Linked DNA regions of Nothobranchius furzeri. The protein of the gene in region 1 interacts with the protein of each later gene in a pairwise test. Links are inferred from orthologs where the notes say so. Each region holds a gene or a part of one and is shown on either strand. Other genes may lie near its edges.

The links. The genes of interacting proteins can lie anywhere in the genome.
Region 2: the proteins of probable nuclear hormone receptor HR38 (region 1) and cyclin-dependent kinase 4 inhibitor D-like interact in binary tests that used the Homo sapiens proteins (3 or more experiments, as listed by UniProt). The two-hybrid records come from large-scale screens. The link is inferred for Nothobranchius furzeri from reciprocal best matches to the Homo sapiens genes NR4A1 and CDKN2D.
Region 3: the proteins of probable nuclear hormone receptor HR38 (region 1) and prdx4 interact in a two-hybrid assay, tested with the Homo sapiens proteins (2 studies listed by BioGRID and IntAct). The link is inferred for Nothobranchius furzeri from reciprocal best matches to the Homo sapiens genes NR4A1 and PRDX4.

Annotation. Positions count from the first base shown.
Region 1 is NC_091743.1:50,513,119-50,517,316, forward strand, and holds the start of probable nuclear hormone receptor HR38, read left to right. Parts: upstream 1-1,398; 5' UTR 1,399-1,535; intron 1,536-2,829; 5' UTR 2,830-2,831; coding exon 2,832-3,668; intron 3,669-4,036; coding exon 4,037-4,166; intron 4,167-4,198. UniProt on the Homo sapiens protein: Orphan nuclear receptor. Binds the NGFI-B response element (NBRE) 5'-AAAGGTCA-3'. Binds 9-cis-retinoic acid outside of its ligand-binding (NR LBD) domain.
Region 2 is NC_091747.1:71,358,396-71,361,904, forward strand, and holds cyclin-dependent kinase 4 inhibitor D-like, read left to right. Parts: upstream 1-1,238; 5' UTR 1,239-1,377; intron 1,378-1,693; 5' UTR 1,694-1,711; coding exon 1,712-1,852; intron 1,853-2,520; coding exon 2,521-2,877; 3' UTR 2,878-3,009; downstream 3,010-3,509. Other genes in the region: ap1m2 (AP-1 complex subunit mu-2), read left to right, coding at 1-84, 352-427, 520-545. UniProt on the Homo sapiens protein: Interacts strongly with CDK4 and CDK6 and inhibits them.
Region 3 is NC_091750.1:46,010,997-46,014,976, reverse strand, and holds the start of prdx4 (peroxiredoxin-4), read right to left. Parts: upstream 2,801-3,980; 5' UTR 2,731-2,800; coding exon 2,520-2,730; intron 1,372-2,519; coding exon 1,254-1,371; intron 1,166-1,253; coding exon 1,049-1,165; intron 976-1,048; coding exon 853-975; intron 690-852; coding exon 559-689; intron 482-558; coding exon 447-481; intron 1-446. UniProt on the Homo sapiens protein: Thiol-specific peroxidase that catalyzes the reduction of hydrogen peroxide and organic hydroperoxides to water and alcohols, respectively.

The sequences.
Region 1 (4,198 bases):
TGGCCCGCGTACAAAAGGGTCTCCTGAGAGGCTTCAGGACATGTTAGTTTGTCTGGTTGTTTTGGAAATGTTATGACATAATGGGTATTAGGTGAAGCTTAAACTGATGCTGACAAATGAATGTCAGCAGCTGAAGTGGTGACATCCATACTGGGGATTCTCTAATGATGACATTTCAGCACCGATGGCATCTCCCATCTCCAGATGGGTGTAGTCGTCATATTCTGAGAGACAGAGAAGAGATCTTAGTTTCTAGTAGGCTACATTTCATGACATGACTTCTCGGTCATTTTAAAGCCCCTTAACCTTTTCTTATTCTGGTAGAGCTGCGTGTAAGTAGACCGGATCACATGGGCTAACAATTGTGGAAGTCATAACCCACTACCAGACTCAATCAATAGTGAAGTAAATGTGATGGCTTTCACTCAGCAGTAACTTCACTCTAGCAGCAACAGTAATACCATACTTCTATGAGCAAAGATGCTCTTATAGAAAGAGATGGGAATAAAAATTTAAATGAAACAACGTCTTTATTTGTTGCATTGCATTAGCATTGCAATGCATGTCTTAGCTGCAACACACACACACACACACACACACACACACACACACACACACACACACCTATAATCTACTGTACTAAAGAGAAAGCATTTATTAATTGAATTTTTTTTTGTGATTTGGAAAATATTTAGACATATAACCATTGTAAAACGTGTTCCTATATTCCAGCAAATGTGCAGCTAAGGACCTTGTTGGATGTGCGCCATGATAAATATTTCTCCAGTACTGACTGATATTCATTTTTACAATACGCCATCCTGCTTAAAATGTCTTACATTAATGTAATCAAGATGTTTCCTATCATTTGGGGTCATTATAAAAGATGAGGAAGACTATTTTTAGAAAAGATAATGGCACAAAACACACACGTGTGTGTGTGTGTGTGTGTGTGTGTGTGTGTGTGTTCATATTGCTTTGGTTATATCTGTCTTTCTCTCTAAAATGCGATAAAAGACATCAAACTTAGAAAACTACCCCAAAACGTTGATTTTCCTGCTCAGTCCTCTGATAACACGCCAAACTGTCTAAAACGTGCATTAAGATTTACATTTCCATTCACAAAAACGTCTGTAACTGAAAAATTGAGCTATTTTTAGCCTTTATCATTCAATAATAGCCCCACGTGAACGCCTGTGGTTATTTTTAGAATAACGTACATTCTCGGCTCCTGCGTCAATGGAATCCCGAGCGTGCGTCAGACGGAATAACGTCTAAGCGTCACGCGTTCACCTGATTGGCTGCTAATCCGGAACGTTTCACCATGTTTGGGCATAGGCCCGCCCTTTTTGTTGACGAGGTCATAATAAAACAAGAGTGTGTGAAGCCGTCTGCGTTGGTCTGACCCAGTGAGTGTGTGTGGATGTGTTTGAGTGGGTGTGTGTGCCGAAAGCAGCTGGAGGAGCTGAATTCATCCGTTTCTCTGCTTTGGAATTAATTAAAAACTTCAAGATTCGGATTTTCTCATGCAACAGGTGAGTTACAGTCAGTTGTCTGAGACAGGAGAGGTGTAGTGTTACAGATGTTTATTCCGGCAATCAAACGCAACACAAACCTGAAACACCAAGGTATTCTAAGTTATTGTTGAAACTGTTTAATATAGAAGGGATGTGTAAATAGTGGTGTCATTTCCAAGGCTAAAGCTATAGGTTTAGCTGAAAGTTTATTCATTGAAATGTAATAAAAAGGCTACTCACCAGTCAGTGAAGCAAATAATTGTATTTAAGCAACAATAAGACTGTCTTGGGGTTAAGGCTGGTTCTTTATTCATGTCCATCTCAACTGTATGTGTGCATTTGCCAAAATTATGCCAGTTGCCAAATACAGAAGTATTTGTAAAGGCACAATCTTCATATGTTATTCAGATTCTCTTCTTAGTGTAGTTTGGATTGATGTGGTATAAAAATAAGTACTTATCTTAGCTTATCTTTCAGAATTTGTTGCGTTAACAGTCACTTACCCTTAAAAAGGTAAAAACAAACACCATACTGCTGCTGTTAGCTTTAGTTATGGTGTTTTAATGTGACTTCTATAGTAGAGAAAATAGGTTTGGGCTGGATAAGACACGTGGAGCATGTCATTTACTAAATGTAAAAGCAAAAAAATATTTATCACATTAAGAAAACTTTATTTTGATAACAGAGTTAAAGTTTTATTCTGAAAGCGACAGATTTTTATCGGTTGTGCTTCACTTGTGAAATGTTGAAGTGAGCACACAAGTGGATACACACCCCTCCACACACACACACACACACACACACACACACACACACGTGCTTCATCACCCTTGCCATTGCAGCTGGCATTCATCCAACCCTGAAACACAATCTGAAGCACACTGTGGCACAGCCGCTGTGGAAGAGGGTTGTCCTCCACTGAAGGAGGTTTTCAAAGCATTAACAGCCAGTAACACAATATCTGACAATATCTGAGCGCTCCACTGGACCACCCTCTGCATTTTCCAACCAGGACCGACGGGGCCTGAAGCGAGAGAAATGGCATGCGGGGTGAAATGAGACCGAGCACATTCAGGGTGCTAACATTGGCCACTGTTTGCATGGTTACAGAGGAAGAAACCGTTTTATTTATTGTGACAAGAAAGTCATAACCTTAAATGTCATGTAGAAATTTGTCAGGTTGCATCAAATTGAAATTACATTTTTTTTAAAGAAGCATGGATTAACTTTCCTTTTATAATGCATCTGTCCTTGTTTATTACTGCAGTAATATTTGACCTGCATGGTTAATTTCTTCAACTCTCTTTTTCAGCAATGCCCTGTGTACAAACCCAGCTTGCATCTCTGCCCCACGACAACTACTTCAGCTCTGAGCTCTTGAATCCAGACCTCAGTGCCACACTGGTGATGGAAATCACTGGCCAGAAGGACCAGTTTTCCACATCGTCCCTGCCCAGCATCAACACCCTTGTTGGAAATGGTTACACCAGGGAGTTTGATGCTTACACCTGCAAGATCACCACCTCCCCTCCCACCTCTGCTGTGTCTTTCAGCCACGCTGCAGCAGCTGAGAGCTCCAGCACACAGATGCAGAACCAAGCCTTCAAGCTGGACGACCTCCAGGTGTACGGCTGCTACCCAGGATCTTTCGCTCTCAGCTGTCTAGAAGAAACACTCTCGTCATGTGGCTCTGACTACTATGGAAGCCCCATCTATGGAACTGCTTCTCCTCCAACGTCAGGCTTTCAAACAGAGTCTGCACCTGTCTGGGATTCCCCTTTCAGCCCCTTTCCCCCGGCCCTCCAGACCTCTGTGGATAAGAACAGCATGGCTCAGCAGCAACTCTCATTTTTTACAGTCAACCCTGCACAGGATCAATATTCTCCTTTGGGACAGCACCAGGATGCCCCCAGTGGACAAGATGATCCGTTCTTCCTGTCATCTCAGCAGCATTTACCCCCAGTTCATTGCCCCTCCATGTCTATGGAACAGGGACCACAGGAAAGCCCCAGAATATTAGAAGGGGCCATGATGTCTCCTAAAAGCACAGGCTTAGGATCCAGCGAGGGTCGCTGTGCAGTTTGTGGTGATAACGCATCCTGTCAGCACTATGGAGTCCGCACTTGTGAGGGATGCAAAGGATTCTTCAAGGTAAAAAAAAAAATGTAGATTTACATTTTAAAGGGAAAAGTAGAACATTTCTATTAAATCCAACTGAAATTAGCACTAAATCATAATTATATCATCATGCATCTTTAAAAGTCTGTACTAATATTATATATATGTAGATATTTTCACTTCTTCAATATCTTTATTGATCCAAACCTAAAAAAAGAATCAGGTATTGTTTGAAATTGAATGTTTAGTTACTATTTGATGAGGAAGTATTCACAGATGTAGGTTAAAACATAGCAAAAGCTTTTGCTTTTAAAAAAAGAGCTTAAAGGTCAGATTTGTGTTTATTGTCTCAGGGTTATTATGCATCGTTGTGCATTCAACTCTTTTTCTCTGTTTTCCAGCGAACTGTCCAGAAAAATGCAAAGTACGTGTGCCTTACCAATAAAGACTGCCCAGTGGACAAGAGGAGGAGAAACCGATGCCAGTTCTGTCGTTTCCAGAAATGTCTTGCTGTGGGAATGGTCAAAGAAGGTGAGCAAATCTTAAAGCATTCAAGAGTTTGT
Region 2 (3,509 bases), on another chromosome or scaffold:
AGTGTGGAGAACGATGAGGCGGAGGGCAAACCTCCCATCACGGTCAAATTTGAAATCCCCTACTTCACAGTCTCAGGAATTCAGGTATGTGTGTGTAGGCGCTACAGTCTAGTGCATCTGGAAGTGTTTGTTCTGGATCTTAACTTTGTTCAGGCGTGGTGTTGTTTGTCTACACACCTCTAAGCTGCTTGTTCTGCTCTCATGCCTCCCACTTCATAAACTAATGCAGTCAAGTCAGGTCCTGTTATGCTGAGTGGTTCACTGTGGAGAAACGCGTGCTAATTTGATTTAATGATGCACGCCTGTGTTCCTGCTTCAACACGCTTCATCTCAGTCATTCCTTTTGTCTAGGTCCGATACATGAAGATCATAGAGAAAAGTGGGTATCAGGCTTTACCATGGGTCCGCTATATCACACAGAGTGGAGGTACATTAGGGTTACACTTTTTCTAAAATATTCAAAAAAGAAAAGCAACCATAGCTTCTTTAATCTCTTGCATTTTCTCTATTTTTATTTAGATTACCAGCTGAGGACCAACGTGTAAAGCCTTCTGGATCTCCTACTGTTTTTTTTCACGTGTCCAGAAGGTCAAAATGAGCAAAATCATCACTTTACTGCACTGAAAGGTCTTTTAAACATCACCTGCTTTAACATTATTGCTTTAAAAGGTTTTATGGAATGTGTTTGCAGATTAAACTCAGTGTGTATTCTGTGATGCATCAACTTTATTTAAATTAAAATGAGCCCTGTGAAGCAAAAAATCATCAGTGGTTTTTTTCTTCCTGTTCTCGAGGGTTTTAAAGATTTTAGAATGTGTTCTAACACACACACACACACACACACACACACACACACACACACACACACACACACACACACACACACACACACACACACACACACACACACACACACACACACACACACACACACTCTGTAAATTCCGCCCAAAATTAAAACCCTGCACCCGCCTTTTTTACGCTGCTGAGGGAACCCACAGGATGAAAATCCGAATGAACTGCCCTTGGAGGACGCCAACGTATACGAATCGCCCGCTTTCTTCGCCTCGTGTCCTGATTGGTCAGCTGCCTCTGTTACTACAGCGATAGCGTAGTAACAGCAGCGCAGCCCCGCCTCTTTGACCATATTTGAAGGAATGACGTTGAGCAGGCGAGCTGTGATTGGTCAGTGTAGTCTCTCTCCAATGTTTGTAAATTGTAGACCGGGCACATAGCTGTTTGGATCTCAGCGCGCAAATGTCTAGTTTTAAGGTTGATAAACTTTCCACTTTTGAATCGTCTTTAAACGTAACCGCTCTGTAGGACCAGCAGGCTTTAAAACTCGGTGACGCGTCGGCTCTTGGCGAACTAAAGAAGGTAGGTTTGAAAGCTGTTGGACTGTTAGCTTTTAGCCAGGATGCTACTCGTTTGTAACATCTGATCAAAGTGAAATAAAACTATCGAGACGAGGAATGTTTAGTCGAACAGTGTTGTTAGGAAAACTTGGTTCAGTCGACCAAGTGTAACCACTGCATGTTTACAGGAGGTGTCAGCGGGGAGCTGCGGTACGTTAGCCGGATGCTGTAGTAACGTTAGCTAGGTGTAGCCGACTGCCGTGTCCCTGGCTCTTTGTTTTGATGAGACGCCGGTGGTTGTGGTTAGTTTTCTAACCTGGCCGTGTGTCTCACATCAGGCAGGAACAGAGACTATCATGGTGCTAAGTCAGATGGAGGCGGGGAAAGCGCTGACCGCGGCAGCAGCTAAAGGGAACACGGACGAGGTGCAGAGGATCCTGGAGGAATGCAGAGTGCATCCCGACACTGTCAATGAGTTCGGCCGGACCGCGCTGCAGGTGAGCGGCTCTCAATCCTCACGGGATTCCTGCAGGGGTGCCAGAACGGAGCTAAATATGTTCTCACGTTTCAGAAATAATCCCTCTGAAGGTTTAATGTCGAAGAGTAGATTATGCTACAGGAGATCTGTAATTTTAAATTAAACGACTTGTGATACTTGTCGGTCTGATCGAGCTCCATCACACATAGTGTAATGGTTCATTTACCTCCTCAGTAAGTCTGATGGTCACAAAGGACTCGGACCAAGTTGGAACAGAGAAACTGGGAGGGCAGTGACCCACCAGACTAGGATTAGGCAGTCTGATCAAGCTGTTTTCATGCAAGATTAAAAAAAAACTCAAACATTTTCAGCCAGTCACGCTCTTGCCTTCAGTTTAAGACATTAATAAAAAGTGATTTCATTTGGCAACCATGGACCACTATAAATCTTTTATTTCTGCTTCATATAAATTAATTGAGTGTGTTTTACTTTCATGCTAAATAAACTAGAAATAATTTCAGTTCCAGTAATTACAAATTAGTCTTGCTTATCCGCATGTTCTCTTAAGAGCTGTATGGAAAGGACCAATGTCTTTAGAAAATTGAGCTTTTATGATGACGAGGACATGTGGAAGTGACGAGTGACCAATGAGCCCTCATCATCTTCTTGTTTTTCTCTGTCCCACAGGTGATGATGATGGGGAACTCCAAAATAGCCAGTTTGCTGTTGGAAAAAGGAGCTGACCCCAACCTCCAGGACAGGCACGGCATCGCGCCCATCCACGACGCTGCCAGAACCGGGTTCCTCGACACCCTGCAGGTTCTGGTGGAGCACGGGGCTTCGGTGAACCTTCCCGACCACAATGGAGCGCTGCCCATTCACATCGCCATCCGAGAAGGCCACCGGGACGTGGTGAAGTTCCTGGCGCCGCGATCGGACCTGAAACACGCAAACACCAGCGGCCAGACGGCCGTAGACGCGGCCAGAGCTTCGTGTGTGCCGGATATGATGGACTCGCTTTTCGCTCACGTCCACAGTTCATAAGATTGATCTAAACTCAAACCTCACACTGTTTCGTTTTTGCTTTGAAACTTGAATATGTTGCTGTATGAAAGAATCGGAGTTATTGGTGGCTTAGCATTAATATGTGACACAGGACATATTGTCTTGGCAGCTTATTGTTGTGGATGGGTGGCTCTATACTGTAGACACCTTTTGCACAGTGCAGTTTAGGCACCTTAAATTTACATATATCTGTTTTCCCCATTACCGGGAGCGCACATTTGTAGATGGTTGTCCCAGTGTTATCTAATTGTTTTGATTGTGTAAGAGTTGTAGCAGTTCCTACTCGCGTGTTTCTTTTTAAAAACAAACCCTGATTGCTTTGCATAGTTGTTTCTCTTCATTAGATGAACTTAGACTTTCAATTCACTTATTATTTATTGTTGGAAAATGACTTAATATTCCCTTTGTGATGTAAATTGCAGCATTTTTTTTGTGATTTGTTGAAATGTTATTTATACAAATACTTTTAAGACAAAAGTGAGATTATTCACTTTAATATTTGCAGAAGAGAGCACAAAATAAAGTGATGAACTTGATGTCTTGTGTTTTTCTGAGCAAGTAAATACTTGTGGGGTTTGGTGTTGAAATAGAATCTAAATGGTTATAGGAGG
Region 3 (3,980 bases), on another chromosome or scaffold:
AGGTTACAAAGATTATATTTGTAAAAATTACATTATTAAATACCAATAACACACCCAATAGTATAATTAAGCCTCTGCATAAGAGGTAGAACTCTGCATGCGTATATAAAATCACGGTTTCCTCTACATGTAATGGATCGTGGTGAACTGCCACATCATCAGAAATAGTTTTTTTTTAAAATATGTTAAAACAATGAAAATCATATAATATGCATATAGCTTACATTTGCACACATATACTAACCATAATCAAGTCTAAATGGATTTAAATATCATGAAATGTTAAAACGTAATGTACTTCAAAAACCAATTTGTAAGATCAGTAGACTCATTCAAATAAAAGGTTTAGTGTCACAGCTATCCTTTGAGCTCAACGATAAGTGAAATGTCTAAACAGACGAAACTAACTAGACACTAAAGATCACCACAGTCTGGGTTCTACTTACTGTATCGCTGCCTGGCTTCCACCCGGCTGGACACACTGTGGAGGGGAAACAGGGCAGTTATCATAACCCATGTGGTGAATAAAAGACAAGAAAGAAAAGTAGCTTCATGTACCTTCTCCGTGTTTATCTGTGTACTGGAAAGCCTGGACCAGCCGCAGAGTCTCGTCTACAGATCTCCCAACAGGAAGATCGTTCATGGTGATCTGCCTCAGGACGCCTTTGTCATCAATGATGAAGAGACCTCTGACAAACATACAGACATGGGAGATTAGCTCTACCTAGAGGCTAAATGTATAACTCACAGAAATAAATAACATCCCTCACACGTGTTTGACAGTTTGTCCATGCCATCAACAAAACAGCCACACAAGGTCACTTGATGAAGGTGATAAATGTTAAAGCACACCTCAGTGTGTGTCCCTGGTCCTCCAAATAGACTCCATAGTCTTTAGAAATCTGGTGGGTGAGGTCAGACAGCAGAGGGATTTTCATCTGTCCAAGTCCACCCTGCTTTCTAGGGGTATTAATCCTGTTAAAACAGAAATGGTGAGCAAAAACACACCAAACTACACCAACGACCCACAGCTTATTGGATATCACACCAGGCCAGGTGGGTGAACTGGGAGTCCACTGAGCAGGCGACCACCTCCGTGTTGATGGCCTGAAACTCGTGCACACGGTCGCTGAAAGCAATGATCTCAGTAGGGCAGACAAATGTGCTGCAAGGAGAAAAAATACACAAAATATGCTCTGAAATTCAGGCAGACACAAAGTTCTTACATGACATGTTCCTCAAAAGGTACTTACAAGTCCAGCGGATAGAAGAAAAACACAAGATATTTTCCCTTGTAGTCAGACAGTTTCAGCTCTTTGAATTCCCCGTTGATGACAGCTGTTCCTTCCCAATGCGGTGCAGGCTTTGAAACTTAAGCAGGAGAGAAAGACAAACAAGCATGCACTCATGAATTAAAACTGAATTTACAGACCAAACACCGTCCGTACGTTCAGCAAATACCAGCCGGGAATGGAATTATTACCAGTAAACAAATAAGGCCAACTGGATAGGAACAAAGCAGTAATTATTTGAAACAAAGTAAGAATAAAAATGTTATACTTAGTGTCATTTCAATAAGTGAAAATAAATCCATGTATAACTGCTAGAATTTAGGATCTTTGGTTTGATTAGCGGATTCAGTGTTCTTCCACTGTGGTGGTTTATAAAAATGACTGTTAGGGTCCAGTCCTGAAATGATTATGGGTCCAGTTGTAAATTTTGAGGACAAATTTGTTAAAAACATATCTAAACCTAATTTTACTCCGAGATTCATCCACTGAGTTTTGAGGCCCTATATTTCCTAAAAGGTCACTGGACACAATCTGCATAATATACTTCTTCCATCCATCTTCAGCCGCTTATCCGAGGCTGGGGCGCGGGGGCAGCCGCCTATTGGCCCAGACTTCCCTCTCCCTGGCAGTGTTGGGAACGTTACTTTAAAAAAGTAATTAGTTATAGTTACTGATTACTTTGTCAAAAAAGTAACTCGGTTACTAACTGAGTTACAAGATTATAAAAGTAACTAATTACCAAGAAAAATAACTACCTAGTTACTTTTTTCATTAAAGCATGCAAGAATTACTACAATAGTGAAATATAAATGACTAGTGACTGGAACATAATAGAATGTGTGTCCAAATGTTTTTTATAAACCTGAATAATTTAAATAAATAAGCACATAAGTGTGTGTGTGTGTGTGTGTGTGTTGCTGGCTTTGGAGCAGTTCCAAAGGGGCGGGACACACAATCTTGTCAAATATTGAGTGACGTGTCCTTAACAAATCTAACGTTTTAGGCCTGAGACGTATTAAAGGGAAGACTCTAAATTGCACGAGACTCTGACCAGGTGTCACAGACATCTCAAGTTAATCTGCAGCCTGCATCAATGCACATGTTGTCCTCGTGAGACCAAAGACCTGCTGCAGGTTCCCAGGAGAGGAAACCACTCAAAACCGCACCGTTTCGTTTGGGAAATGATAGTATGGTCCAATAGTGAATGAAAGCGTGAAAGGGACTCACTTTTAGCTTTGCTGAGGTGCAGGGAATGGTCAGAGACAGGCACACGAAAAGCCTCTCCGGGATAGACGTGTCCTCCTGCATAGTTGTGACACTGGGAGCTTTTCAGCTGAGCGCCTTCCTCTGCGGATGTGACCGAGCTCAAAACCAGCAAAGCGGAGCAAAAAGCACAGAGAAGGTCCCTCTTTACATTGGTGTTGGTACCAGACACCATTGTTGCGTTTCTGAAAACGGAGGTGCGTTCCAACCTTTTCCTTGTTTTCTTCTTCTCGTGAAGCGAAGTGTCTTTACTATTGCCCCGAGCCGCCCCCTGCTGGGGACAAATAGCATTACAACTACTTTAGCTTTTCAAATGAGGGCATGGCTGCAGAATTTGGGATTTTCATTACTTATCAATTGCACTCATCAAAGCTAAAGAAATAAACATCTGAAATATATCAGTCTGTGATAATGAATTAATCTAATATATGAGTTTCACTATTGAATGGAATTACTGAAATACCATAAATCCTCTAATACAGGCCTGTATTCAATTAACGGCCGGGTCTCATATTTTGGCCGGTGTCGGAGTCGGCGGAGGTGAATAATGGCCGGTCTCTTATTGTGGCCGGGTGGAATGTGATAACAAGCAAGTACGGGGGCGGTTGTGTCATCGTCTCACTTTTGATTTGCGAGTGATAGACCGCGAGGGTAACTTTAACCATGCGGAGATGAAGAGGAGACGAAAATTTGATATCAAGTTCAAAGAGAACATGCGGTCGGTAGATCTTTTAGAACTGCAGTTCAAAGGTAACTCATAAGGTGAATATATATGAACCCAGGTAGCAGTTTTTCTTTAGGATTGAGAGAAGATGCAGGAAGATAATAAACAGGCAGGACAGAAAAATAGTCAAATAAAAACAAGTTAGTTTTTGTACCTGGTGGTTGCAACAAACAGACACCACTGAAGGTAATCAGAAGTGAGGAACAGAAAATGAAATAATTATTTTAATGTTTAGAGCAGCAGGAACACTGAGAGGCTGCAGGCGCATCAGTGAGTTTGCAGCCGCTACGCAGGGGGAGGGGGGAGAGGGCTGAAGCAGAAACTACCGTTGTTAAAAGAAATGTGTTTAACTTTGAAAATGTGGGCGCAATTTTAATTGTCAAAAACTCCAGCGAACCATTAGTTCATTTTGCTCAAATAGAAATAGAGGCCTGCCTCTAATTCTGGTCCTCCTTCCAATAAAGGCCTGGATTTTGATGAGCTTGAGTCAAATACAGGCCTGGGCCTGTATTAGAGGACTTACGGTAAATCAACTTTGTCATGATTCTCCAATTTGATGACCAACACACACACACACACACACACTAGACTTTTATCTTTGGGGTCATTGCAATTGTCTATGGTGTGAAGATACAATATATCCAGCACCTGAAACCACGGATACTGGGAGCCTGTGCTGGCATTTCTCCTGCTGTGTTGCT